Linked DNA regions of Tamandua tetradactyla. The protein of the gene in region 3 purifies or fractionates together with the protein of the main gene of each other region. This does not show direct contact. Links are inferred from orthologs where the notes say so. Each region holds a gene or a part of one and is shown on either strand. Other genes may lie near its edges. The genes, in order: THOC2, THOC6, NCBP3 and THOC7.

The links.
Region 1: the proteins of NCBP3 (region 3) and THOC2 purify together in Homo sapiens (co-immunoprecipitation; 3 studies listed by BioGRID and IntAct, with this or other methods). This does not show direct contact. The link is inferred for Tamandua tetradactyla from reciprocal best matches to the Homo sapiens genes NCBP3 and THOC2.
Region 2: the proteins of NCBP3 (region 3) and THOC6 purify together in Homo sapiens (co-immunoprecipitation; 3 studies listed by BioGRID and IntAct, with this or other methods). This does not show direct contact. The link is inferred for Tamandua tetradactyla from reciprocal best matches to the Homo sapiens genes NCBP3 and THOC6.
Region 4: the proteins of NCBP3 (region 3) and THOC7 purify together in Homo sapiens (co-immunoprecipitation; 3 studies listed by BioGRID and IntAct, with this or other methods). This does not show direct contact. The link is inferred for Tamandua tetradactyla from reciprocal best matches to the Homo sapiens genes NCBP3 and THOC7.

The regions. Positions count from the first base shown.
Region 1 is NC_135353.1:41,986,731-41,994,301, forward strand, and holds the start of THOC2 (THO complex subunit 2), read left to right. Parts: upstream 1-4,570; 5' UTR 4,571-4,613; coding exon 4,614-4,684; intron 4,685-7,571. UniProt on the Homo sapiens protein: Component of the THO subcomplex of the TREX complex which is thought to couple mRNA transcription, processing and nuclear export, and which specifically associates with spliced mRNA and not with unspliced pre-mRNA.
Region 2 is NC_135349.1:54,444,655-54,451,487, forward strand, and holds the start of THOC6 (THO complex subunit 6), read right to left. Parts: upstream 3,007-6,833; 5' UTR 2,736-3,006; coding exon 2,697-2,735; intron 1,442-2,696; coding exon 1,326-1,441; intron 1,217-1,325; coding exon 1,152-1,216; intron 1,063-1,151; coding exon 959-1,062; intron 876-958; coding exon 838-875; intron 758-837; coding exon 709-757; intron 582-708; coding exon 510-581; intron 432-509; coding exon 329-431; intron 249-328; coding exon 199-248; intron 114-198; coding exon 51-113; intron 1-50. Other genes in the region: HCFC1R1 (host cell factor C1 regulator 1), read left to right, coding at 3,125-3,219, 3,537-3,590, 3,702-3,830, 4,056-4,191; TNFRSF12A (tumor necrosis factor receptor superfamily member 12A), read right to left, coding at 5,201-5,256, 5,341-5,475, 5,722-5,826, 6,548-6,641. UniProt on the Homo sapiens protein: Component of the THO subcomplex of the TREX complex which is thought to couple mRNA transcription, processing and nuclear export, and which specifically associates with spliced mRNA and not with unspliced pre-mRNA.
Region 3 is NC_135332.1:57,853,467-57,861,287, forward strand, and holds the start of NCBP3 (nuclear cap-binding protein subunit 3), read right to left. Parts: upstream 3,004-7,821; 5' UTR 2,983-3,003; coding exon 2,800-2,982; intron 999-2,799; coding exon 933-998; intron 1-932. UniProt on the Homo sapiens protein: Associates with NCBP1/CBP80 to form an alternative cap-binding complex (CBC) which plays a key role in mRNA export. NCBP3 serves as adapter protein linking the capped RNAs (m7GpppG-capped RNA) to NCBP1/CBP80.
Region 4 is NC_135341.1:20,808,273-20,815,185, reverse strand, and holds the start of THOC7 (THO complex subunit 7), read right to left. Parts: upstream 3,015-6,913; 5' UTR 2,871-3,014; coding exon 2,852-2,870; intron 2,824-2,851; exon of another isoform or gene 2,677-2,823; intron 74-2,676; exon of another isoform or gene 1-73. UniProt on the Homo sapiens protein: Component of the THO subcomplex of the TREX complex which is thought to couple mRNA transcription, processing and nuclear export, and which specifically associates with spliced mRNA and not with unspliced pre-mRNA.

The DNA.
Region 1 (7,571 bases), on a different chromosome or scaffold from region 3:
TAGAGACAGACTCCTACTGCCTCCAAAGAGGAAGCTGGAGAACTCAGAGAAGACCGAGATTATGTCCTGGGGGAGTTGGGTCAGAGTCCCCAGATTTCTAGATATACAGAGTTGCATGAGGACATAGGAGAGGATAACAATGAAGCAAGCAAGAACGAAGGTGAAAACACATGGCCAAGCCTTCTGGTCAATAGCCATGACTCACTAGTCTAGATGGTCAGAGAGGAGAAGTGTTTCCTGGCTGGCTTGCCCAAAGATCTTGCCGGTGTTGAATTCATAGGTTCTTGGGTGTGCCAAAAGAAAGAATTTTAGGGGCACAGCACAGATCTAGCAAGCAGGTAGAAAATTTAAGTACACATGCAAGAAGGCATGTGGGTGTTCTTGCAAGAAAAGAGGCCAGAGGCCAGGGCAGGTCTTAACAAAACCAAGAACATATCCTCTCTATCACCAACCCTACTAGCAGACAACCTACTGCCTATGCATAGGGCTCGATTCAGATCCCCTTACCAGTTCTCTGTGCGCAACTCCTAGTCTGTATGATTTTATTTTAAAGGCTATCAACTTCAACCTTTTTCAGTGGACTGTCCTTAAGTTACTAGAGCCACTTCTTGCCATAAATGTGTGGACACCTGGAAGTGCCTAGGAGTTTATGTTTCTCCCGCAGTAGTCTGTATTCACTGACAGACAGGTGCAAGAGTATGAAAGCCTAACTTTCTTGCTCAAGCTAGACAAATTTTGAGTAATTTATGCTTCAGTTTTCTTCGTGGGATTAGGCAGAGCTTGTAACTTCATTTACAAGCATACCCTTGCTTGGCTTCATCACTTCCCTATACTGTTTTCCCCAGTTCCTTACCTGTCTTTTCTACTGGAAGCATGCAAGTCCTCATTTCAGGGTCTGCTTCTGTGGAACCAGACCTAAGATAGGGCTTAGCACACCATCAGACTGTCCCTTATCCAATCAAGGGCCTAAGCACAGAATCTAACCAACAATCTGGGCATAGTACACATAGAGAAAGGCCATATTTAACTATGGTTCATATACCACTGCCTAGCATCCCACTAGATGGGCCTGCTATGATCATGCAAATAATAATAGCTAATATTTATTGAGCTTTAACTGTGTGCTGGGGGCTCTTCTAAGGATGCATTACCACATATTATCTCATTTATTCTCACAACAGCCCTATGGAAAAGGTACAGTTAAAGGGGAACTATCCTTCCCCACTTCTGATGTTTCCTTTTCAGTAGGGTTGTGATCCCTGCTCCCTTCACTCTCTGCCTCCCTTCACTTCTGCCTCCCTTCGCTCTCTGCCTCCTTAATTTCTCCACTCTTACTTCTACTTCCCTCCTTCAGGAAGTGTGACTTACTTCATGGGTCCTCATGGAAGAAGAGACTGGGTATGTGTAGCCTGGCACCTACCTTTGTATTTCATCTTGGGAAGAGAGCAGATGTTGGTTTAGAACTTGGGCAAGTAAGACGAGTGTGAGTCATTGGGTGACTCCAATCTCAACAGATACTATTAACTTCATTTGACAAAGGATAAAACCAAGCATAGAGAAGTTAATAAGTAACAGAACCTGGGTTCAAACCCAGACAATGCAGAGTTAAGAACGTGGGCTCTGGAATGCTTGGGTTTGAAGTGGGAGAAAATAGGAAAATCAATTGGAAAGGAGAACACCAATGAAAAGCTAAGAGGAGGCAATGAGAGTCCTTATAAATGAGGTGTTGTTCTTACCTAGCCAACAGGTAGTACTAACACATCCCAGTTACCAAACTGGTCATTTCTGCCCCGTGACTTTGACAAGCTGCTACTTCTGGATTACCCCCTCTGATGCCCCCCCCACCTCCTCTTTGGAATTCCAGTTTGAACTTGAAGACCTATCTCTAGCACATGACACAAATAATGAAAGGGCATTTTTCTCTACAGAGGGGCAGTTCAGCCAGAATGGAACCAAGTAGATTGGTTTGGAATAAACAGCCTTAGCATAAAATGCAGAAGTTATCAAGTAGCTTATTCAAAGAACTTTTCTTCATTTGGGATCTTGGAAAACCTTTTGCGTTCATTCTTCTATCATTTTAATTGTTTTTTCTTGTTTTGCTTTTATACGCCTCCTTCTTGGTCCCATTATCTGTTTTCACTGAGATGATGAATAACAAGATTGCTTAGCCTTACAATTACCTAAAACTAACCTATGACTCCATGCATTAGACTGTCAACATTGAGATTACCCAATCCCGAGTCAGCACCCCAGATCTTAGTCCCTGCCTAGTACACTGCTACTTATGAGCCAGTGAGATCACCAGAGAACAGTACTCCCAGCTGTTGAGACAATACCAGGTACTGACAACAAAGAATAGCCAAACCAAAAACAAGAATGCAAAAGACATGATAGTTTTGCAATGTTATAGAGCAAAAAGCCAATTAGCTCTGAGGAATTTCTAATGGAATCATGATGCTATGTAAAAATAGTTCTGCAGTTTCTGGGAGAAGGGAAAACCAAGGCTGGGATGTTTAAAAAGCTTCCAAGGGTATCATTGCACTCAGATCATAGCACATTCCTGGTATACCGAGAAGTATGCATACTGCACTGTTCAGTAGTAAGAAGGAGAAATCATTGTGATACAGTAGCAAGGGAGGCTACAATAGAACAGAAAACTGTAGCTCAGTGAATCTCAACAGCAGTTGATTTCGCCTTCCAGGAGAGATTTGACTATGTCTGGAGACACTGTTGTGGTAACAACTGGTGCTGGTGGCAGCAGGTGTGTTTGTGCATGTGTGTATGTGTGTGCACGAACTACTGAATCTTGGGATAGAGGCCAGGGATACTGTTAAACAGCCTACAATGCACAGGATACCTTCACCTCCTTCCACGCAAAGAATTATCTGTCCCATAATGTCATTAGTGCCCCATTTGAGAAACTCTGCTGTAAATCATACAGTGAATTATACATAAAGAGTAAAAGTGTTCATTTTATCACAGAACTTACACTGTAATGATTTAAAAATTTCCTACAGAGGGTGATGGTACATGTGGGTTCACTATACCATTCCGTTTACTTTGTATGTATTTCAAAATTTCAATGATAATGAAAAGTGAAAAGATCAGAGGGCACTCGTATCTCTGACACTCATAGAAATGGCAATTGTTTTTATGAGCAAATGTCACTGAAACAGAATGGTGTATATTTTCCAGTGGATGGCTTTAAAATTTCAAAGCCAGACAAGATATTGTGACACTAGGTATTGCTGGTGAAAACAATGATTCAACATGTTAGCATTTTCCCAGAACCCATTCTGAAATCAACCTATCCTCTGAACAGTTTTTCAATGCAAACAAACCTGGTCCATTTGGCAAAACTTGCCAAATTTAGAAGACACTAGTTCTAAAGTTCTTTCAGTAACAAAGATACTAGTTCTAAAGTCCTTTCAGTAATATATGTGTGTAGGATTCCTTCTTTTGGTTTGTCTCTAATTTCTAAATTTTCTGCTAAACTGTTTTTTAACTTTTTATTGTAAAATAAACACATTTTTAAAACCTTTTTATTTGGAAATAAATAGGCAATTACATAAATTTACATAATGGATATAATTATTAATATATAATATTTTATCTTAGATTTTTAATCTTAAAATTTCGACTTTAAATTTTAATGATTATATAAACCATTATAATTTATATTAGTCTTTTTCTTTGACAGTTCTCAAGAGTGCAAGTCAGTTACTTTGTAAACTTTCCTTCAATTTGGACTTTTCAGATGTTTTTCTTCCTGATTAAGAGTCATATTATGCAAATTGCTGGCCTGAACACTGCAAAATTAACTAGTGTTTTTGCTAGCAGCTCATCAGGAGACACATGATGTAGTTTTGTCTCATTTCTGGGGATGCTTTCATCATATGATTAGGAAGTGTCCGCAATGTTTTCCCACTGAAAAGTTTCTGTTTCGCCCTTTGAAGTAATAAGTATCTTGGATTATGTAATGTAAATAATTTGTTTCTCATCCTACTTGCGCCCCCTAGTTTTGTCTAAGGTACAAATGATAGCAGTAAACAGGATGTCAGAACTCAAAGCCTACTGTGCTTCCCAGGGCCGATTCTCTTTTCTACACTAGATTGTAACTTTTATATTAGCATGTCTGGCACATAGCAAATGCCTCCCCAATTAGTTTGTTTCTTTTATCCCAGCAGGGGTATGGTAATTCATCTGCTTGTATGTCTGTCTATGTCACAAACTGTGAGCTCCTTGAGGGTAGGCATCATGGCTTAATTCTCTGTCCCCAGTGTCTAGCAAATATTAGTGAATTACTGGTCAGTTGTAGCTATTCCAGAAGAGAAGGGCTACGAGTCGACTGGGGGATGGCATTTTTCTGATCTAAACGGAAGCGACTGCAAGGGTTGCGAAGAGCGCAGCCGGCGTGAGCACTTTGCAAAGAGGCCCACTGGGTTCGGCCATTTGGTTAGCGGCCGGGACGGTTACTGCCGGGTGGGGAGAAAGGTGGGGCGGGAAATAGAAAACCTAAGTCCCAGCTTCCGGCATTCCTCGTGGGCGGTACTCCCCTTTGACCCGTCGCGCGCGTGCTACACATCCGGGCCTCCGCTATTAGCGAAGGGAAGATGGCGACGGCAACTGTGGTCGTTCCCGCAGAGTGGATAAAGAACTGGGAGAAATCAGGGAGAGGCGAATTGTGAGTGTCCGGGTTGGAGGCGAGTGCTTGGTCGGGCCGGGTTCAGGCAGCAGCCTTGCTCTCTTCTGCGGCAGTTGGGGAGGAAGATGCGCCCCCTCCCCCACCCGGGCGGCGGGTGTGGATGGTTAACTAGGAGTTTCGAACTCGGGGAGGAGAGGTGCTCTCAACCGCCGCCGACCTCCTTCTTTCCCTGGCCTCCACGAAATCCCCGCTTCTCGCTGTAGGCTGGCTTCCTTTGGCCTCTTCGCAGGACTCCATTTCGCCCCTGCGGGTCCCGGCGCTCCTGCCCGGTCTTTTTTTGTCCCCCTCTTTGCCTGAGCTCACTTGGCTCCTTTCTCTTTACCGGGGGTGGGGTGCTGGGGTTCAGACTTTTCAGCTCTTTCTGTCCCATTTCTTCACTCTGCCTCCGTTCGACTCCGCAGTTTGGAGCCCGGAGCCTCCTCTGCCCGAAGTCCGAGGAGGGCGAAACGTCCCGGACTCCCTCCCCTCTTCTCCGTTCGCCGCCGCGAAACCCCAGGCTTCGCGAAGAGCCCTGCTTGGCACTTCTCGTCCTCCCGGGGAGCGGTCTCCCGGACTGTCCCGGCCTCCCGTGGCCCTGGACTGCCGCTTTCCTTGAAGACCTACTGACATTTCTTTGCTCCGTCTTTTCACCTTAGAGCCTTTTCGGGTTGGATTCAACTTTCGTCATTAAACGTTTCTTAAACCCCATTTTGTCCTGGGACTGCAATTAATTTTGGCAACTCTCTACACTTCTCCAGTACCTAGGATATCGCTTTTCCTTGAGTCATAAAACTTAATTCTCCCCCCAGTAAGACGGAAAACAAAAATTGACTATACCCATTGCGTCCTCACCCACATTTTCAGCTCGCGCTTTCTCCCTTTCTCCCCGTCTCTCTCTTTCTTGCTCGCTCTCTCGGAAAGAAAAATAGTTTAAACAGCAAAACAAACCTCAGATTTAAAGAAAAATAACTTCGTTTTAATTTCCTTCACTGAATCTCTTAAAAGGTATACCTCAATCCCGTGTGGAATTAACTTGTTAGCCATTTTTGTTGTGGTTGTCTCCACCCTCTTCCATTAGCCAGTTTACCGTTGCTGGTCAAAAGATAAGAATCTTTGGAACTTTATTTCTTGGAACGAAACGCGAGGAACACGTTGCTCGATCTTACGCGCTAATATTGCCAGCCTGTATACTACCCCCCCCCCCCCCCCCCCCCCGCACTGCTTTGCGGAGTCTTAACAGCATGAGCTTTAGAAATGGATTTCCTGAGTAAGCAGCCTTTGTAACTTAACTAGCTGAGTGACCTTGGGTAAGTTCCTTAACCACTTTTAAGTTTCTTCTTGAGTAAATTGGGAGTTACAGTACCCTACTCAAAGGATTGTTGTGAAGACTGAATAATGCCTGTAAAACCCTTAGCATATAGTAAGTGTTAATGTGATGGGTCTTAACAGTTAATATATTGTTGCAACCTATAGATACTTAAACTTCTACAGATAGCTTTTGCACTTAGTCTGTACCACGCAGGTCTCTGACTTTTTCATGTGTAGTTACTCCAGTCTAATGAATGAGAGGTCTTTGAAGTATAGGGACTATCTCTCATATTTGATGCTCCCCTAGCCTCTTCAGCTCATGCTTAGAGCACTTACTGCTGTTATTAATGATAGAGAAATCCATTTGCTAAACATTTGTTTTTAACTGTTAGGGACATTTTCCAAATCCTTGTGCAGGTCAGTCAACAAAAACCAAATCATCATCTTCACCTATATTAAATTAGAATAAGCCAAAAGACTGATAAATCGTTTCAGTATTTTTTTCTTCTTTTACTTTTAAGCCAACTCTGTTGTTTAGGGGCTCTCTGTACATAACTCAGCCTCCTCCTTCCTGCTGCTCTTTTTGACAGTTTTATTATTGTTCCCACTTTAGAATGAAGGGCATTAGGGCTAGAACATGAAATTAAGAACCTTCTGCTTGGCTTCTCACTGGCAGTGATTGAGGAAAAACAAAGTGATGTAGGAGGTCAAAATATTTAGTCAAAATGCAATTTTGGATTCACTTTATGTATATTTACGTGATCCATGCTAGAGTTGCTTAAAAATTGTTATTAGGACTTACATGTATATAGTTATTGTATGACTTTTGGAAAGTGATTTGAATTAATAGTACGTGCAAATCAGTATGGTCTAAAGAGCATTGAAAGTTCTTGGTTGTGTAACGTAGTGAAAGAGTTTTTTTTTTAACTTTTATTAATTAAAAAATTAACAAACAAAACATTTAGATATCATTCCATTCTACATATATAATCAGTAATTCTTAATATCATCACATAGTTGCATAGTCATCATTTCTTAGTACATTTGCATCGATTTATAAAAAGAAATAAAAAGACAACAGAAAAAGAAATAAAATGATAATAGAGAAAAAAAGACTATACATACCATACCCCTTACCCCTCGCTTTCATTTACCACTAGCATTTCAAACTGAATTTATTTTAACATTTGTTCCCCCTATTATTTATTTTTATTCCATATGTTCTACTCTTATGCTGATATAGTAGCTAAAAGGAGCATCAGACACAAGGTTTTCACATTCACAGAGTCTCATTGTGAAAGCTGTATCATTGTTCAATCATCATCAAGAAACATGGCTACTGGAACACAGCACTACATTTTCAGGCAATTCCCTGCAGCCTCTCCACTACATCTTGAACAACAAGGTGATATCTACTTAATGCGTAACAATAACCTCCAGGATAACCTCTCCACTCTGTTTGAAATCTCTCAGCCATTGACACTTTGTCTCATTTTACTCTTCCCCCTTTTTTGGTCAAGAAGTTTCTCTCAATTCCTTGATGTTAATTCTCAGCTCATTCTAGGGTTTTTCTCAGTCC
Region 2 (6,833 bases), on a different chromosome or scaffold from region 3:
CACAGCCGTCCCCTCACCCCCTGCCCGATGCTGCACTGGGCCCCACTCACCATCCAGTCGGAGTCGGTGGCCAGGCACCCAATCCAGCGCCCGTTGTGGGGTCTGGCGCACTCCTGGGAAGGAAGGGGGCGAGGGGTGAAGACCTAGGGGGTGCCTGGGGACAGGGAGGGTGGGGGGGCGCGGGACACGTGCCCTCACCTCATGCTTGTACACCTCGATGGTCTGCACTTCCTTGGGCATGCGGAGGTCTATGCAGAGAGAACAGTGACAGGCGCCGTCCTCACCCCAGCGCGCCCCCATCTCTCCCTCCACCCAGCCACCTCCTTACCCCAAAGCCGCACAGCCCCATCCTCGCCACCCGACAGCACCTCGGGGCTCCTCTCCCGTAGCGCCAGGCAGTGGATGTAGTCTGTGTGGCCCCGGAGGGCCCGCTGCCCGGAGACGACCACGTCAGGGCAGGCCCGGGAAGAGGCCCCCCCCCCCCCCCCCCCCCCCCGAGCCCAGCTTACCGTAAAAGTCCCGGTTTCAAGGTCCATAGTGTGCAGCTGGCAGTCTCCCCCAGCCAAGATGAGGGAATTCTCCTGCAGAGGAAGGCAGGGCGGGGCCGGAAGCCAATCACAAGTCAGGGCAGAGATAGGGCAAAGGATCAAAGCTGGGGCCAAGAACAGGGCAGGGCGAAGGGTCAGAGCGGGCTGAAGGGCCTCAGACCTTGGGGACAAGCAGCAACGCATTGATCTCGGGCACCTCCAGGCTGGTCCTGGGAGAGGAAAAGTGGTCACCTTTGACAGGCGGTACCTTTGTGCCCGCACTCACCCCCGCCCCATTGACCTGGCTCACCTGTAGGGGGGCTGACGATGCCACAGCTCCTTGCAGCCCTTTATGGCGGGAAAACACCAGGTGACCTAAGAGGCCCTCTCTGGGGTTGGTCACCCCAGCCCTTCCCCAGCCTCATGCTCACCTTTTTGAGGATCTCGGCCCAAAACCAGGCCTTTACCTCCCCATCCCCAGCACTGAGCAGATGTCGATCAGTGGAGACCATGCTGTAGATGGGCCCATCATGGGCTAGAGGGAGATGCAAAACCTCAGTGACCCTATCCTGCTACCCCCTCCACCCTGGGGTCCCCAAAGCCAGAGCCGGCAGCTGCACCCACCTTGGAAGGTCACCACTGGCTTCTTACTTTCCTCTTTAGCTTCTGAGCTCAAAGCAGCCGACAAGCTGAAGGGAAGAGGGGAGGGAACCCAGAGAGCCAGAGGTGTGGGGAACCAGTCCCAGTAAGGCCACATGCCAGGGTGAACAGGTGCTGGGGTACAGGGGTCGTGGGTACCTGAAGATGGCGATCTGCCCGTAATTATTGCCAGCCGCCAGGAACTTCCCGCAGGGCGAGACGCTTTGGGAGAAGATGGTCATGTGGAGTCGCTGCAGGGCCTGAAACACTTCCACCTGTGGGCAGAAGCTGGCTGAGGCCCTCTGGGACCTCCACTAGCCCAGCAGCCCCCTGCCCACGCTTCTCGGCCCTCCAGGGACCCAACCCTCCAAGAGGGCACCTGCCCAGAGGGCCCGGAGGCCAGCTCCAAGAGGTGAGTTAGGAAGGGTCAGGTGTGCAGCCCAGTGGGACCCTGAGCACGCCCCAGCCTGTCTCTCCTCTGGATTTCCACAAAAGTGTCGAATGGGACTCATGGGAGGTTTTGTCACGATAAGAGGAGCTGACGTATATAAGACACTGCCACACAGAAAGTGCTTAAAAGGGGCTGTTACCACCACAGGAAAACACACTGACTTTTTTTTTCTTTGGTTAGAAATAATTTTTTTATATAGTTGAGTGATAATTTAGTTACACATATACATATGCTTATCACAATGACGAAAAACTGGTTTAGAGAGAAGGGTTTTTTGTTTGATCTTTGTTTAAAGGGGTCACTAAAGAGAATAAGCTTGCTTAGGAATTCCTTTTTAATAGTTTTCTAAAATAAAAGCATTCTTTGATCACAATGGAAAGTAAATTCAACATCTATTCACTAATGCAATAAAAAAATACAGTGTTGATGTTTTCACACCACAGTGAAAGGCAGCTCTCAATTCTTTTTTTTTTTTTTTGCATGGGCAGGCACCGGGAATCGAACCCGGGTCTCCAGCATGGCAGGCGAGAACTCTGCCACTGAGCGACCGTTGCCTGCCCACCTCTCAAATGTAAATTACTACAAAAAGACTAGGGAGTTCTGTAGAAGATTAAAGGCACTTGGGGATATCTCAACATCTAGAAGACCAGACAACAAACTGCAAAATATCAGGTAAATGATATTAGTGAGAGCAAACTGGGTACTAGGTATCATGCAAAGACTTTACGTATATTAAGCCATAGCATTATATTTTATCTACACTAAGCAATAAATGACCCCCATACAGCCATTATTAACTAATGGATTGCGGCAGTTATTTTCTGGTTCCAGGGAAATAACCCGAGATGCAGCAGTATAATAACACACCGACTTCTAACTCGCCCCCCAAACATGACTGCCATGCTAGGTGCGCCCCCTCTACACGCCCTTCCGCAGCACTAACAGGTTCCTCTTCGCCCCGAACCCCCGGGTGCGAATTCCAGTCCAACAAACAGCCCCGTCCAGGACGCGATTCCTCGCCCGCCCCGTCCGAATCAGGCCTGGACTACAAACCCCAGGAGGCCCCGCGCCCGCCTCACCTGACCGAGCGGCACCGCGTGCGGCGCGGCCCGCTCCATCTCGAAGACTACAAGTCCCAGAGCACCTCGAGCACTACGCGGCCTCCCGAGACCGGACGTGCCCGTGAGCGGCTGCTCTCCGCGCGCCCCACCGCCCCAACCTCTGCCCGCTCAGCGCGAAGGCGGCCGCCGTGCACCGCCCCAAGCCCCGGGAGCCGAGGTGAGCGCCGGAAAGCTTCGCGGCACCGCGTGGCACCCACCGCAGTCCCGCCACGCCGGACCCCCTCCCCCACCGGCCGAGCAGGCCCGCCAGCCAGCCGCGCACCGCCGGACACCCGCGCCTGCGCGGAACCTCGCCGCCTCGCGCGCCCAAAGCCACGCCTCTCGCGTTGGCCACGCCCTCGGAGGGTCGGCCCCCCCCCCCCGGCACGCGAAACCCCCGAGCCCCGATGATTCTGCAGCAGCCACTGGAGCGAGGCCCCCCTGGTCGGGCCCGGCGCGACCTGCGGGCCGCCTCGGGGGAGACTCGGAGCCTGGATGCCAGGTGTGTGTGGGGGGGCCCGGGGCGGGCCTGGCCTGGGAGCACCGGGGCTTTGGCTGGGGGCTCAGGGCTGGGCTGCTGAAGGACTCGCGGCGGGGGGAGCTCGCGGGGCTTGGGCATGAGCTGAGGCGAGGAAGGAGTTGGGGGACCCAGGGCCGAGACCTCCCTGCTGGATGGCCCGGGAGAGGGAAGTGACTTGGGTGTCAGCTCTGGCGAGAGATGGGGCTCGGGGTTCCTGGCTGACGCTGCAGACTCAGGTGGGCCGCTCCTCGAGATGGGGCCGGGAGGATGGGGTGCACCAGGCTCTCTTCTCTTCTCAGCTCCCCTCTCCGATCTATGCCCATGAGCACCAAGCGGCGCCTGGAGGAGGAGCCGTGAGTCCTGGGTCAGGGAGGCACTCCCAGCAAGGTCTCTGCCTCCTCAGGCCATCAGGCCGCCTCTCCTCCCTGTACCCCAGCCCACGTGCTCCCCGTTCTTTCCCCCAGGGAGCCCCTGCGCAAGCAGTTCCTGTCCGAGGAGAACATGGCCACCCACTTCTCTCGACTCAGCCTGCACAATGACCACCCCTACTGCAGCCCCCCCATGACATTTCCCCCAGCCCTGACCCCACTCAGGTAGGCAATCCCAAAGGCTGGCCCTCGTGCGGGATCAAACCCCGTCCTCAGAGTCAACCTCCAGGCCTTGCCTCATTCTGCTATTTTTAGCTCCTAGCTGATCACTGTGTCTGTTTCTGCTCCTTGGAAGGTGCCACAGGCCCCTGGGGACCAGGGCTTGGTGGGAGGGGGCTCTTCTAGGTCAGCCTCTGCCCCATGCCCTGACACTGTAACTTCCTCTTTCAGGAGCCCTTGCTCTGAGCTGCTTCTCTGGCGCTATCCTGGGAACCTGATTCCTGAAGCTCTGCGGCTGCTGAGGTTGGGGGGCACCCCCAGCCCCCACTATCCTGCTACCCCTTCTGGAGACGGAATGGAGTTCTGAGTGCTCCCCCTGAAAGGACCAACAGCCTTGCTTGCCCCCCTCCAGGCCAGGCCAAGCCTCTGGGCACCAGGATTGTCCCCCCAACACAGTCCCTGAGCCCTGTGGAGCCCCGTGGAGCCCTGGGCTGGGAGGGGCAGGAGAACCGGGAAGGAGGCATTTCCGGCCCAGGAGAACTGAATAAAGACTACCGAGGAAACGAGGAAACGAAGGCTTCATTCTGGCAGCCCAGAACTTTGGGGAGGGGTGGGGGTGGCTGGCACGCGGGATGCTGGGGTTTCTCTCAAGATCATCCCTGGAAAACGGGCCCGCCGGCCAGCCCCTGGCAGGCAGGGCTCAGGCATTGAGAATGCCTGAGTCAGAGCCCCGCCCCCGCCCCCGCGCCGGCTGACTCACCCCCACCGCCTCCCTCTGGTGCCGGAGCCAGCCCGAGGATCATGCCACTCTCCACTCTCCGACCCATTTAAAGTTAAAGATTCTTTTATTAATAAATTCTATCGTCCCCCGCACACACGCTCCCCCCCCCGAATAAATATCTCCCCTCCCTTGGGGGCTGGTGGGGGCAGTGTCCTAGAGCCAGCCCCCCTAGAGGGCCAGCCCCTAGTGTCAAGAACAGAGGTCCCTAAGCCCGCGGCTGAGACCCCGTGGTGGAGCTTCATACGTCCGCGTAGGGTGGGCCTAGTGTTGTATGTGCCCCTCAAGCCAGCCAGGCCCCCCCAGGGTACGGGATGGGGGCGCTCCCTCCCCGTGTGCAAATGCTGCAGGTCCTTAGTGTCGGCTGTCCTGGGTAAGCCAGGATGGAGCTTTTCTGTCCTGGAGCCAAAGACAAGGCCATCAGACACCTCAAAAGGCCTCAGTGACCCCCGGCCTCAGGCCTTGGAGAGGTGGCACCTCCCCCAACCTGTCGGCCGCCCCTTCCCCCATTGGGGGGGTAGGGTGGGGGCTGGCTCCAGAATGAATGAGTGAAATGAATGATGGCCGCGCGCGGCCCGGGCTGGCAGGGGTGTCACTCTCATTGGATCAACGCCACGCCGGGGCAGCCCTCCCCGCCGGTCTCCTCGATGGGGGCTGCAAGAAAAGAGGGGCTGTGGTGAGACGGGGTAAGACCGCGGGGCGCAGGGGCTCGGGCGGGGAGGGACAGGGCACACTCACTGGTGAATTTCTCTCTCCTGCGGCACCGTCTCCAGACCAGGAAGCCGGAAAGCAGCCCCAGCACGAGCACCAGGCTCAGGGCGCCCCCCAGGATGGGCCACAGCAGCCGGAAGGGGGCCGGAGGGGCCGCCGCGCCTGGGGGCGGGGCCTGGTCAGACCGCGCCCCCCTCCCCCCGTGTCACCTCGCGCCCCAGCCCTCCCCTCGACCTGCACCTCACACTTTTCACCGATCGCCGCCCCTCCTTGCTCAGAGCCCCTTCCCCACTCCCACCTCTCCCCGGTCAGTTCGGCCTCCAATTCCGAAGGCCTCCGCCCCGTCCTCCCCGGCACCCCTCCCCCACTCCGGGGACCCCCCCGTCACCGGCCCCGCCCCCCACTCACAGCCCAGGCAGAAGTCGCTGTGCGGCCGCGCGGGACACGACGCGCAGTCCATGCACTTGTCGAGGTCCGCGCTCCAGGAGCTGCCGCGCGAGCAGGGGGCGGCGCCTGGGGAGGGGGCGCGGGTCAGAGGCTGGAGGCGGGCCGCGGCTATTCTGGGGGCTGAGGTCAGGGTCCGCCGGCTCGAATAACGTGAGTCACCGGCGTTCTCCCCCCGTCGCATTCCTCACAGGTGACCGCACGGCCCGACCGGGACACGGCGGCAGTGGGAAGGGGGAGCCGCGGCGCGGGCCGCTGGGGGGGGTCAGGTCCCCCACAACCCCCACCCCCGGCGGCGGGTGAGTCACTCCCGGGCGCTGGGCCCGACCCCAGCCCCTCCCCCCGCATAGCTAGGCCCTGAAGTCACCGGACGGAAGGGGGCACCCCCACATGGCATAGGGGCGCACAGACCCCCATGGCTCTCGACCGCCCCCCTCTTTCGTCACTGGGACCGGGCCGACCCCCTAGGGACCGCCAGGCCGGGGGCGTGCTCCCTTTCCGCAGGAGACATCCCGCCCCCAAACTTTCCTCTTCGAGTCCCGACTTTCAGAACCGAACCCTCCCCCCCGCTCTCCCAGGCGGGGAAACTGAGGCCGGTACTGCTGATGGAGTTCGGGACGGGGATGGAACCTCCCCCAGCCAGGGCGCGCGGTGCTTAGTGATCACCTGGTCCCGGATCCCCTCCACGTCCGCCTGGTCCCCGGGTTCTGCCCGGTCCTGCCTGGCCCCGGATCCCGGCTTCCGGATCCCGGGCCCCACTCCCGCCAGCCCGGCCCCGCGCCCGGCATACCTGGCGCCTGCTCCCCGGCCGCCGCACCCAGCAGCGCGAGCCCGAGTCCCAGCACGAGGAGCCGCAGCAGCCGGTGCAGCGAGTACCTAGCCATGGTGCGCGTCCCGCGGCCGCCGCCGTCTGCTCCCGCCGCCCGCCGGCGGGGCCTCGCAGCCGCCGCCGCCCCGCCCCGCCCCCGCCTTCCGGGGCGGAGTCTCCGGCCAGCGCCCCGCCCGCGCCCGCCGGGCTCCAGGCGCCCCGCCCCACGCGCCGCGCTTAGACAGTCGATCAGCAAACACCGCCTGCG
Region 3 (7,821 bases):
ACCTTCCTTTGGTAGACTTAAGCACCAACTCGAGCTACCAATCTTTTCCCATACAATGACAAACTGTACAGAATTAAAAACAGTACAGTCTTCTTTTTCCATGACAATGAGAAAACATTTTCACTTTATTCTACTTTCTGCTTGCTCTTTTTTTGGCCTTTAAGCAATCCGAGACTGATTGAGACTGGGATGAAATATAAGTAGATAAGCATGACATATTTAATTTTTATTTTTGCTTTTATGCATAGCGTATAGCAATACAGTACTATTATTCAGAATGCTATTCTGATTCTGTTCCTACCTCAATTGCACACATCAAAACAGAAAAAATGGCTAAGCTGAATACGACTGATCAAAGCAACAAATAGGTATCTACCGTTTATGATAAGGAAAATAACAGGTTTGTCTCTCTGAGCTGCTGGTAATTTAGTTTACAGCAAACACCAATAAAAGGCAATACTTATAGTTATTTTGAGAATACCCTCAGAATCTAAGGTTAGACAGTCACACAATCATGAAGCCCATCTTTCTAAGCCTGCAGCCAGTGATGAATAAAGACATTTACTAAGGGTCGACAACAAAGGCAGACACTTTTCATGTTTTGTTTTATTTAAAATGGAAACAGAATACATTCTTAAAGAAAGAACATGGCATAAAAAAGCATTCCCAGTGCAGAACTTTTTCTTCGAAATGGTTATGCACAAGCATCTAGCTATAGTGGTTTTATCTTTTTGTGGGTATGATAACACAAATAACGCTGGAGGTGTGCAGGCTGTAAAAGGGCCACGGTGTGTAACACAAATTTAAAAAAAATTAATCCAATAACACACAAAAAATGAGGTAAAGAATAATTACTGCTCTGCATGTCCTAAGAATCAAGTTCAAGTACACTCACTTATCAAACTGAATAAATAAATCATGTTCTGTCTTACCTTAGAGGTAACATCGATTCCGGTGATGAAGCTGCCAGCCTTGTTTTCGTATCTTCTACTTGTGTCCTAATACAAAAGAGAAGGGTAAGAAACGCTGACAGCAACTGAGAAAAATACCCATGATAAAAGAATGCCAAACAACAGATTCCTTTCAGATAGTCATTCTTTCCAGCAACCCCTCCCCAACCCCAGACATCCCCTTATGAGGAAGCCTGTCCCTGTGACATCAAGGTTAGTAATCAACCACTCTAAAGCGTTCTTTCTAGATCAGAGCTTATCCAAAACTTTAAGTAACTCCATCAACTGACACTGACATTGTATCATTCTTTTGACCTGTCTGGGCCTCGATTTCCTCCATGGTATCTGCCTATCTTCCTAAGGTGTTTCTACTCTCCCATTTGTACCACAGAAGTTTCCATTTCTCCAACAAAGCAACCTTGTTCCCATCTCAAAACCTTTGCACTTGATGCCCCTCATTCCTTGCCCAGAAATGCTCCCTTCCAAATCTGTACATGGCTGGTTCATTTACAGTACAGTTTATTGTCACTATCTCAGAGTGCTTCCCTGACCATCTTATCATATTCTACTTCCCACTTTCCACACCCCACCCTCAACCCCTGCACTCTCTATCCCATTATCATGATTTATTTCCTTTTATTTTTTTTCTTTTTTTGGTATGGGCAGGCTCTGGGAATCGAACCCAGGTCTCCAGCATAGCAGGCGAGAATTCTGCCACTGAGCCACAGCTGCACCACCCTATCATGATTTATTTTCTTCACAGCACCTACCATTATCAGAAATTATTTGTTTACTTGTTTATTATGTGTATTCCCCAATCAGGAGGGAGTTTGATCTTGACCAGGCACCTAGGACAGTGCCTAGCACATAGTTGAGAATGCAATAAATACACAGGTGAATTGAATGACTGAAGGGATGCTAAAACCTACTTCACAACTACAGGGAAATTTAAACGATACAATGTAGTGAAAAGCAAAATGCTATTATGTTAATTGTAGTTACCCTATAAGCCCTAGTGTTTATCTCTAGTGATTCCATCTTGACTTTTTTCCATAACTTCAGTTTAAAAGCAAGACTTGCTGAAATGTGATTAAAAGTAGCTCCTGTTAGCTTAGAAATCAAGTACTGGGTAAGAGCCACCCAGAGCTAAGACCAGCAGTAAGAACCGGGCATATAACTACCAAACCACAAGCAAAACACCTTTCTCACTATCCCCATGAGATAAAAAGGATCCAAAGAGCACTAATGGTCCCGATACTTCAGTTTCATTAAGGATCAGATGCTGGGGCTGCGGTGTGGGTTCTACACAGCAGTGGAACTGCCCTGAGGCAAAATGACCCTCAAGTCACAATAGAAAACACAGTGAGTCTCTGCTGCTGACAAATCCAACCCTCCCAAGAGAGAGACAGAGTGCCATTTTTAACTACACCAGAGCCAGGACCCACGGGGAGACCTGAATGTCGGTGCCACCCAAAAGTCCCTTCTGGGCCGCTCCAGGTTCTGTTCTCGCCCCGGGGTCCCCATTAATCTGAAGCTCCCACAGACAATTCCAGCTCCTACTCGTTGGCTCGGAGAGGTAGCTAAGGGGGTGTCCACAACAACTCCCTAGCTCTGTCCCACCTCCTCCAGCCCCCCAACACCCATTTCCGGCCGCACTGGAGTCCTTTCTCTAGCGCCCCCACTCCCCTCAAACCTGGCGCCCCTGCCCCTCCCCCCCGGCGCTCGCTCTCCTCGCTTCCCCTCCCTCGGCTTCTCTCCGCCCGGGAGCCGGCCGCCTCCCCTTCCGGCCCCCTCGGGCGCCACCATTCCCTCTGCGACCTCCCCCTCGACCCCCGCCCCCCGCCGGTACCGGGATCAGTTCCTTCAGCGAGCGCCGCACCGGCACGATCTCCAGTTCGCCCTCCTCCACCTCCATGGGCTCCGGCTCTCCACGCTCCAAATCGGGCTCGGCCTCAGGCGACGGCAGCCCCAGAGCCGGCGCCACCGGGGCCTCAGCCTTCACCGACACTCGCAGGCCCCGTACGGCCGCCATCGCCGCCCGCCGGCCGCACCACTGAGCACCCGCCCAGCACAACCGCCGGCTAGAGCGCCGCCACCACCGGCCACAGAGGAGCCACCGCCGCTACCTAGAGTGTCACTTGCTTCGTCCAGAGGCCGGCCCTCAGCGCGGTCGCTACCTGGTGGTGGGAGGAACCTGGGGCAGGCTGGGGCGGGACCTGGTGAGGAGGGAGCAGGACCTGCTGAGGGGGCGGGGCCTGAAGACTCGTAGTCTGGGATTTTTTAAAAGCTAACTTTACTGAGTGGTCACTTTGTGCCTGACATTGTTCTAAGCGCTTGAATCTTTACAACAACCCTACAAAGTAGGTCCTATTATTATCCCCATTTCACATGTGAGGAAACCGAGGCATAGAAAATAGCCATTTCCTGACAGGTTATTAGAGGGTAAAACCTGGATCGGGGCCTAGGTAGTGTGGCTGCAGAGCCTAAAATGACATTTGTTCCATCCCCACTGTGCAATCCATATATGCCTTGCCCACCTTTGTCTCTTTCAAGTCTCCCCGAAATTAGCCCGTTTTACATACACAAAAGTTAAGACTCCATGAAGGTAGTGGCCTAGCCAAAGGCCAGAGCTTGAACCTCAATTGCCTGACTCCTGAGGGCTTGATGTACTTACTGCACACCTCTGAGCGTAGTTTCCGTGCACACATTTCTAAAAAGAGCCGGGTTGCAGGAGGGGGTATTCTCTAGGCTTCCAGTCAGCGCCACTGATTTTTTGCTTTGGATACCGGCTTTGCAACTTCCTTGCTTGGGAAGGTTCCAGCCAGTTTCTGGGCATGTTTTCCCATCTGAGGAGAGAGTAAGTGAGCACCCTAGGGTCTCCGGGCCCTTCCCTCTCTGATCTTGGAGGAACAAATAATTCTAAATCAAGGGCACTTGTGATCAGCACCAGTCACAGCTGGGTTGGGGCTGACTGGCTCTGCCCCTCACACCATGTGTGACCTTGGGCAAGCCACTCAATCCTTTGGAAACCCAGTTCCTTCCTGGGTAAAAGGGGACAGTATTATCCACCTCCAACAGAGATTGTGAGGATTAAATGTGATAATTATACATAGATACAGATCCAACAGAAGGGGTGCTTCTTAAATTTGGTCTTTCTTAACTTTGGGCTAAGCCATGGGACAAACATAGAATGGAGCTTCTCAGAGACCTAATTTTGCTTGTTGAATGAGACACAAAGTCGTTAGAAAGTTGGGTTGAATCTAAAGGCATGAAATGGATAGAATGCAAAATTTGTGTGAATTTTAAAGAACAGTTCAAAGAAAATTTGTGCTTGGGGTGATCAGCATTGTTTGACAGTTATGGGGCCACCTTTACATTTGCATTCTAGGCTGCTGGGGGCGAGAAGAGGAGGGACAATCTCTCTTCAGCTATGGACACCAGGAGGCCAGCAGAGAAGGCGGGGCTGGTCCCTCTCCCTGCTGGAAAAGCCTGGCTGCTTGAGAATTCAATTCAGTGAGGAATCTGGCACTGGCACAGTGCAGTTTGGCCCCCAGGGGGAGCTCTAGTAGGCAAGTAAATCAAGAATCCAGGACAAACCCGGGCATCAGGCAATCAAACAGCAGGGCTCCTAAAGCGCCCCTCGGGAAAGGTCTTTGTGCCTTTCCCTTTTTGGTCACCTAACCACAACATCCACTCCCCCACCCCACCCCCATCCCTCCTGCTCTCAGTGCAGCCTGCTGAGGTGTGGCCGTGGAGAATTAGGAGGTGGTAAAGAATAATTTTCAAAAAGTTAAAAATATGACTCTCATACAAATATAAAATGAACGTATGTCAAAGCTTGTATTCAGCTCACTAGTGAGATATTAAGACTAGCTCGAAAGAGAATTTGAGCACTGGATATTTATGGAGCTGGTCAAAAGAATGCCAAAGTGAATTTAACAAGACAGATTAATGCCCTACTAGGTTCCTTTTTTTACCAGACGGAAACATTTACATCACTTGCTATGAATTTTCTATAAATTAACCTCTACCCTTAGGGAGTTGTAAAAATGCCCTAATCACAGCAAATAGGAAGTCAAAGAAGGGACTCATCCCTGGAAAATCAGATAATCCCCACATGGAATAGGCATGTCAGAAAACACTCAGCACTACAATGAGAGGACATCCAGAAATCCTTTTTCCTATTCCAAAGTTTGGATGATTTTTATAAGCAGAAGAAACCAGGAGAGTGGGACATTGGGGTAGACTGGAGAGAGGGTTCAAAAAAAACCAGAGCCATCAATGTCAAGGCCACCTCAAGTTCACAACGGAACTTGGCTTGAGTCCAGTGGTCTGTTGTCCACAGGTTACCAGGAGCGGACAATGCCCATGAAGGGGAAGGCAGGCGAGAAAAACAGACAACTTTTCTGAGAAGTTTGTGAAGGGGAGGCTTGCCCACGTGTGACCTTGGAGACTCAGTTCCTTCCTTGGCAAAAGGGGACAGTATTATCTACCTCCAATGGAGAGTGTGAGGATTAAATGTGGTAATTGCATGTAGATATAGATCCATAGAAGGGGTGCTTCTCAAATTTGGGCTAAGCCGTAGGGTAAACACAGGATGAAGCCCTTCAGAGACCTAATTTTGCTTGATGAATGAGGCACAAAGTTGTTATAAAGTTGGGGGAAGGGGAAGGGTATCAGCTGGGCCTTCAGAAAGATTACTTTTTAAAAAAAAATGAAATTGACCACTCTCTCTCTCCCCATCCAGAGAGGAAGGAAATAAAATCAACTGAACCCTGCCATTCCTGAGGTAAGAAAGGGAGAAGCCATTAAAAGGTAATATAAGCTCCAAAGGTGACAATGGATGCCGTATGAAGACTGGAAGTGGGTTTCACTGCCCACGAAGGCAGAGATGGTCTACAATGCGGTTTTCAACCTGCAACACACAATCCCACCTCCCACCCTCCAGTTCACATCTAAGATCCTGGGAACACGTGCAGGATGGCAGATAAAGATGGGGAAGCAGCTAACCCTGGGGGCTGAGCTGTATCCGTGCCCCCCATCCCTGCCACAAACTCTTGAAATGACTGTCTTCGCTCACTTTCCACATTTCCCTCACCTCCGTGGGCCACTGGGCACCACGGTCACTGGTGGCCATTCCCTGGTTCTTAAAACCACACACACAATGACCTGGTTTTCCTCTTTCCTCAAGCCGCTCCAGCTCTGGCGCTGTTGAGGGGTTCTTCCTCCTCCCCCAAAGTAACAGTCCCTTAGGACTCATCCTGGCGCCTCTTCAGTGTGAGCAGGGGCTGCTGTTGGTGGGAGACTGGAGAGTGGAGGGGGGGTGGCTTTTAAGCCTGGAACGGAGTGGCCTGGGGGCCTCAGAGGTCTGGTCCTGCTGGAAGCTGGAGCGGTGGAGGAATCCGCACACACCAGGGCTCTGCTCCCCAGGTGAGACCCCCTTGGTGTCTTCCCAGGCTCCGGCGGACCCACAGGGCCCAGTACCACCCGCCCGCAGAGGGCAGCCCTGCAGACAGGCCTGCTTGTGTCTACCCCGGGGAGGAGCTCCTGCACGTGTGCCCACCTGGGTGTGGTGGGGGTGACTCCAGGATCTGAGGGTGTTTGTATGTGTCCCACTCTGTGTCTGGGTATCGCCTGGGAAAGCTGGAACCCTCAGTGGCCTGGACCACCCCCCGCCTCCCCTAGGCTGAGACCACATACGATGATGGAGGTGGGAGGTGGGGAAAGTGGCCGAGAACAGAGATCCCAAAGGGCCCATGGGACCCAGAGCCCAGAGACGCTGAGAGAAACCAGGACCTTCCAGGTCACACCCCACACTTTCCCCCAAGCCTTTGCTGGGCACCCGTGGAGCTGGGTTTGGCTCCCTTATGTGGGCACATCTGGAGGTGCATCTCGGCTCTGATTTCCCAGGAGTCCTTCCTTTTATGTCGGGTCCACAGTTTTACTGGAGTGGAGCTATGGTGGGAAGACACGAGTGGGCAGGGGACCTGGGCTCTAGCCGGCCCTTCCCTGGCTCGCTGTGTGACTCTGCTCTACAGGCCTCAGTTTCCCCACCACAATGCGGCTTCTTGGGTGGGGGTCCCAGTGGGAAATGACTATCAACAGAAGGTTCTGGGTCACTGAAGGCCCATGGTCCTCTTCAAAGCCCTGAAGCATGTCGATCTGGCCTGTTGACCCAACAGTTTGGTGACTGCTTCAGTGAACCATGCTAGGGATTTGTACAACTGCAGAACGGGCCTTGGAAGGGAAGGCTTGGACAAACAGAGGCAGGAACGGGGGAAGGTGGGGATGGGGGGAGGCAGTGTGCTGGAGGAATGGAGGGCCTGAAAAGGCCTGGAGAGTGAATGGAGTGTGGGTGGGTGAAGCACGAACCCTGAGGCATCGAGAGGCTGGAGGAGCCAGATGGCAGGGGCCTCAGAACCCAAGCTGAGGACCCAGGGGAGCACATGGGGGGCTTGGGGTGGAGGGTGGGGGTGGGGGCTGCATGGTCAGATGGGTGTTTCAGAAAGATCACTCTGGAGCTGGTAAAGGATGGATCAGAAGGAATCAGGACAGAGGCCAGGAGACCAGGAGGATGTGAGAGACGGTGTGGTCTTAAACTGAGAGGCCAAAGAAGGAAAGAGACCCACTTTTTGGCTCTGGTGTTTAGGGAACTGCTGCCTGGCCACCAGTCCTTCTCCAGGAGAAAGCCTGGGCAACCTCTCGTGGGACCTGCGCAGGACGACCGGGAAGCAGGCAGGAGCAGCTTTGGTCTCCATCTGTGATGGGATAACTAATCGCCAGGCTCGGCAGCCAATGGCCTGGTCCCCTACCTGGTCTCCAGCTTCACCCAGCTGAAGCCTCCACAGATGGACAAATACCAATCACACAG
Region 4 (6,913 bases), on a different chromosome or scaffold from region 3:
CCTTTTGCTGCTTCCTCATCCATTTATGTTGCTTTTATGTTTCCTCATTATGGTGCTCTACTTTAAATATTTTCTGGAATAAGGCATGTCAGTAAATTAAGGATGGAAGTTCATAATAGTAATATTCATAAAGTAATGTAGTTAGTAGGTAAGAAACCAACGGGTTCTGGAAAAGAGAAGAGGGGATATCTGAGGTGGGTCTTGAAGAATAAATGGAATTTCACCAGGCAGAAAAGGCAGGGGAGGGCAATCTGTGCAGACAAGGAGACGGAGAAGGCACAGTTCTCATCAAAGGAAAGTGGAAGGAGAGATAAATAAACCAATTCTTATATTTAATAACATTAATTGAACATTACTATTATTGTTCAATAATAGTAATGTTCAATAAAACTCCATGGAAAGCCGTTTACAGTTTTTACTGCATTTAATCCTCAAACAACTTTAAGAGACAGATTTTTTTTTATCCCCATTCACAGAAAATGAAACTAAGGCTCAGAGGTTAATTAACGTGCCCACAGCCAGACTACCTGGAAGTGGCAGAGTGGGGGATTCCTGTTGCCTCCAAGAAGGTGGGGGGTACTTGACAGCTTCAGCATGTTTACTAGAATTCATCTTCCCTCCCCTTCTGTCTGACGAAACCTATCTCTCCTTTGCAGTTCTCTACCTCAAGAGAGAAGTAACACTAACAAGCACACAATTACTCAAGCTAGAAACTGGGGTCATCCTTGACTCCTCCCCTCACACCCACCCGATCACTTAAGTCCTGACTTCTACCTCATAAATATCTGTCCCACCTGTAAATTCTTTGCATTTCCTTGATGACTATCTTGGCCTGTGTCCCCATGACCTCTTGCCAGTAGCTACAAGACAGGATACATAACAGTGAAGTGCAAGAACTCAGGAGCTGGACTATGTAGTTTTGAATCCTGGCTCTATAACTTACTACCAGTGACCTTGGGCAAGTTATAGCCTCTTTGTGTCCCAGTTTCATTTGTAAAGTGGGAAAAATAATTAGAACACTGCTTGGCACATGGAATGAATACTATATAAATGTTAGAGAGGACAGAGTTAATTTAGCTCCTCACTTTCCCTTGCCTTCACCATTCTTCATAGTGGAGTGTTGTTTTACAAAATGCAAATCTGATCACACTACTCCAGTGTAAAAACTTTTACGGCTTCTAAATTCTGGCCATTACAAGTAATTGTGGTGTTCTTCCAACACTTTGGGGGCTTGTGCACAAGTGGTTCCCCACCTGGAACACTTTCCCCCAACTACATGTATTTATCCTTTAACAGTGGGATGAAGAATAACTTTTTGAGAGGGACTTTCTGATGTTCCAGAATGGATAAGCAATTTTTGTTACATGCTTCTATACTTCCGAATTTTGTACTTCTCCTGTAGTAACATTTACCACCTTTAAAAATTATTCCATGTGTCTGGGTGCATGGGTAGTTCAGTGGTTAGAATGCTCACATCTCATGTGGGAGACCCAGGTTTGATCCCTGGACCATGCAGCTCCCCCCATTCCCCCCCAAAAAATCATTCCACATGTCTTTCCCACTTGAATGTAACCTCTAAGAGGGGGAAAAGGTCTTGCCTCTTGGTTCTGGCTGTAATCTTAAAGCCTAGCCCAAGCAGGATAAATATCTACTGAATAAATGAAAGTGAAAAGAAGCAAAGTTGAAACTCCCTCATGAAGTTCCTGAACCTTTCATAGCCCCCCCCACTTCCACCACTCTCTACAATGTCTACAAATTTGGGTTCATCATTCTTCTTTCTATTGCTAGCCCCTTAAACTGTACCCAACTTTTCAGAAGGGGCCTTTCTAAGTCCCCTTAAAAAGGCCCCCTGATTTCCCATCCCACATGTCAAAGGACTACCATAACCAGATACCTTCCAGAGTGCTCCACCCAGTTGCCCACCATACCTGTTTCAACTCTTTCCCAAGGTGCTACCTTATTTCTGCTCTCCCTGTGTAGATGGCCCCCGGATCCGTCTTAAATTGATCCACTTTCCTAAATTGCCCTCACAACTGTCCACGAACCCAGCCTCTGCCTCCCCCACCACATCCATTCAGCTGGCAAACCTCCCCTCTCCAAGACACACATACATCCTTTACTATCCTGATCTACCGTAGGTGCCCTCATCTGTATATCTGCTGTTTGCCTCTCATAGCTCCCAAGTATTCCCTGATTGCCCTCCAGATATTCCATTCACATATCCCTTTTAGCTGATGTTCCCATCTCCCCCTCTCCACCCCAAATTCACATGCAGTTCCCAGATCTCATTGCGATCCATTGTCTGGGGGCCGTTCCGATCTGCCCAGAAAACTCCTTCCTCCACGTGTCACCCTCTGTATCCAGACGTCCCTAATACCCATGACCTGGAACCCACCCCTCTTTCCCAGGTTGCCCAGAAGCCCCCGCCCTATCCCTGGAGCTCCCACATCCTCCCATTCCCCCCACAGGCCTTCCGGGACCCGTGGTATCAAGCCTTTCACCAACTCCCTCCACCCTCCACTTCGGCGCTCCGTGAACCTACCTTACCCCGTCAATGCTCCCTTACCACATCCTTCTTCAACCCGGACCCCACCCGGTACCACCAGCCCACACACAGCTCCCAGCCTCCTCGGCCCCCATGTGTACTCTTATCCCCCGACGACCTTCCCAGCACACCCTCTTCACGCCCGGCGCCGCCTCCGGGGAGATCAGGCCGAGAGGCTCCGGGGAGAGGCCTGGAGGCCAGGGTCTCCGAGGGGTCCGACCCGGGAGGCCGAAGAACTCCCGGAAGCGGCCACGGAGACCGAAGGACTCCGGGGAGTGGGCCCAGGTGGTGGCGAACCGGCCTCACCGTCAGTCACGGCTCCCATGGCGTGCGCGGCGGCGGCGGCGGCGGCGGCGGCGGCGGCGCAAGCTGAGGCGGCGGTTGGCGGCGGCGGAGGTCAAACTCCCACAATGCAGCCGGGTAAACAGCCATGGAGGAGGAGGCGGCGGCGCCTGCGGCCGCCAGCTCCGACGCCTGAGCCGCGCCGCCGCCGCCGCGGGACCCGCGCTCCCCGCGCTCCCGGTACCCCCCGGGAGCTGCCGCGGCCGGCGCGTGTGCGGGCTAGGCCAGGCGGGCGGCGGCGGCCCCGGCTGGAGTCCCAGCCCCCGCCGCCCCCCTCTCTGCCCCCTCCCGGCCCACGCCCAGAGGCCGCTCCGGAGGCCGCAGCCAGCCGCCAGGTGAGCCAGTCCGGGCGCCGCCCGGGCTGCGGGGGCGCGCCGGGACTACTGGGGTCGGGGTGCGGCCCCTCTAGCATTCTGGGAGAAGTGGACCCTGCTTCCCCCACCCCGTCCAGGCTGTTGCGGGGGGTGCGCTCGCTTCCTGGGGTGAGGTGGGGAGGGCGGCGGGACGGGGAGCGCTGGAGCTGGGCGAGGCACCGAGGGGGGCGCGGCGCGAGGGTCTCGCCGAAGTTGGCGCCCACGCACGCCCGGGCGGGTCTCAAGCGTAGGGATTGCACCGGGCGCGGCTGGAGATCACGAAAGGCCCAGGGTTCCAGGTAGGGCGGTCGGGTCCCTGCTGCAACCCCTTTCCTCCCTGGGCTCGGGCCGGTGCTGGGAAAAAGGACGGAGAAACTTGTCCTCCGGAGGAGTTCTGCCGACTGACTAGGATCGTTGCGTGGTTGCCATCCCGCACCCGCACGCAGTTCCGCAACAGAGCCAGAATCTCGTCGGTGATCTGGATAGGGTGCATGTATTTATTTATTTATATTTTCTTTAATTTTCAAAAAATTGTCTCGCTGGCTGTCCTCGTCTTAAGGGGGAAGTTTTAAGTGTAGGGGTAGGGGGAGTGTCAATGAGAAATATTGCCTTGTGTGTAGAGTTAGACATTTCCGGAGTACACGGCAAATTATACTGACATCTCTTCCCAGAGTCACTTTGATTCAACTTGAATGAGTTTGCGGTAAATTCCAACATTTACTTGGTGAGAGAGGCCGGTCAGGGAACAGGCACCGATAAAGCGGATTCTTGACCTCCAGTGGAATAGAGAACAGTTAACCACAAGAAGCATGTCTGAGTTTTGAACCCAGGTTTGACATGTTAAATAAGCCATATCATTATTTTCCAATATTCTTACCTCCCAAGCTCCCTGTCTCTTTATCTGAGGATGAAGCAGTTGGCGCAGGATAAATTTTGCTGTTTCCTTTCCTTACTAAAGTTGGATTCATACTCTTCATTTCCCCTCAGTTTTTTCGAAAAGGAAGAATCGTTAAATGCAAATGTATGGCAGTGAAGTGCCTTTTACCTCTAGGTAGAAATCAGTATATGTAACATTTTTTTCATGTATTTCAGGCCAGAAACTTCAGTAATGCCATTTATAATGCTCTCAAGAGTTAGGGCCTTCAACTTTTGGCACAAAGGCAAGAATTACATTGAGTGAAGATTCTGAGGTTTTAACTTGACCGTTAGGATGTGAAACCTCTGGCTTTAAATAATAATTGGCGTAAGTCTGTTCAGTTCTTTGATTTTAGGAGAGAGGACATGCTAACCCACAGAATAGCTTGTTTGAAATCTTAAGTACTACAGACTGTAAATTGGAAGTGTCAGTTGACTATCTGTCTGTCCTGAGTGGCATTTTAATGATGGTTATTGTTGAAAAGGTAATTGTCAAATGGTGTTATAATGTGTTAAATTTTAAGTGACTTGTTACTTGATCTGATCATAATACTGATTTTGAAACATTATCTAGAGATTTAAAATAATCTTTAATGTTTTTATAGGAACATATCACTTGTTTCCTGTAACTGTTAATATTTCGTGAACCAGTCATTTGTAGATGGAGTCCTGGTCAAACATTTATAAGTTCATTTTGTGGCTTATAATTTTGTTGAATAGTGTTAGTAATTTTCTAAAGTAACGAGATTAATTGGAGAGACTGAAGTTTGAGGTATTTCTGAAAATAAATATTCTTGAAAGTTCTTGACTCACGTAGTGGGAAGCACATCATAATTTGAACTGTTATGAATTTTTAACTACCTGTTTTGTCAGCCACATAACTTAACTCATAGATGTATGGACACAGAGCTTTGTTTTGACCATTTAAGACCTTTTGTAATTGCCCTTCCTTCACATCATATATAGTGAGGGAACAACTAGGAAATTTTAGAAGTGGCCTTTTCATATTATCGGTTATGAATTAACCGACTTTACATAACTCAATGTTGAGGTAGGAAGGACTCAAGATCTATCCCATACTAATGTATCTTTTCTAGGGAGGCTTCTCTGGGCAGAGATAACGAAATGGAAGTAGATTTTAATTTATTAACAAAACTGATTTGCGCTTCGAACTTGTATCACCGTAGATTTCATGATCTACTTATATCACTAGATTCTTGGTTTCTTTGAGAGTGTGAGAAAGTAGTCAGGAAGTTAATTTGAGTGCTGGTTTAATATTTGCCGTCAGAAAGTACAAAGAATGACGAGAGAGCTACCTATGTGGTCTTTACCCTGGACCTGTAAAACAATATAGATGTTTTTGTAACGTGCCTTTAGAGTAAGGGTTATCCTGGGATCTATGGATCCCCAGGGGTTCGTGAATAGGCTTCAGGGGATTCCTGAATTCCCTGTAATTGGGATAAAAACTTTTTGTGTATATATATTTTTCTGGAGAATGGGTCTACAGGAGGTCCAAGGCCCAAAAAAGTTTGAAATGTCTTTTTATTAAATGAAATGGGAGTTAAAACAATCATTCTTTGAAGAAAAGAAGTAAAAAAAAGTAGATCTTTGTGCCCAGTATTTGCCTTTTTTTCCCTGTCATGTTAAATTTTTAATTGTGAAATATATATACAAAAAAGCAATAAATTTCCAAGTACATTTTAACAAGTAATTATAGAACAGATTTTAAAGTTTGGTATGGGTTACAGTTCCACGATTTTTCGGGTTTTTTCTTCTAGCTGCTCTAAGACACTGGAGACCAGCAGAAATATCAGTATGATTCAGCAGTCCTACTCATTTGTTAAATCCTATCTTCTCTGTTATACTCCTTCTCTTTAAGTAACATATATACATAAAAGCAATGAATTTCAAAATACATCACAACAGTTAGTTGTAGAACAGATTTCAGAGTTTGGTATGGGTTACAATTCCACAATTTTAGGTTTTTATTTCTAGCTGCTCTAAGGTACTAGAGGCTAAAAGAAATATCAGTATAATGATTCAGCACTCATACTGATTTGTTAAACCCCACCATCACCTCTGATCTTTCTCCCTCTCTTTAGGAGTACTTGTTAGGGTTACATTCTAACTTTTTCATGTTGGAAGGGGCTGTCAATAATGTGGTATGGGGGATGGAACTAGTTGATGTTCTGAAAGGGTTGGCTCCTCTGCATTTCAGGACTCATCTGGTCCAGGAACCCATCTGGAGGCTGTAGGTTTTGAGAGTCACTATAGTGCATGGTACCTTTGTAGAATCTTATTTAATGCTCTAGGTATTCTTTAGGATTAGCAGGAATGGTTTTGGTAGGGGGTTGGCAAGTTATGATAGGTACCAATTTCTAACTGAAGCATGCTTAAGGGTGACCTCCCGTGTAGCCTCTCAACTCCATTTGAATTCTCAGCCACTGAATCCTTATTTGTTACACTTCTTTTCCCCTTTCAGTATTTGCCTTTTAAAGTTGTCTTCAGCCAAGTCATATGGTCCTAGAAGTGCAAAAGCCTTCCAGTTTGTTCCCATGGTAAAGTGTTGTCTATCAGTTGATAAGACTGGTATCCACATGCAGGGGAAGCTGGCGTGCCCAGCTTGTCCTGAGTGTATTGTGGTTGTGTGTAATTATATTTAAAATTTCAGAGTAGATAGATGTATAGTGGATAAGCAGAAACTTGAGTCCAAAATTAGCCTTGAAAAAAAATGATTCATTCACCTTCATTCTCTTTT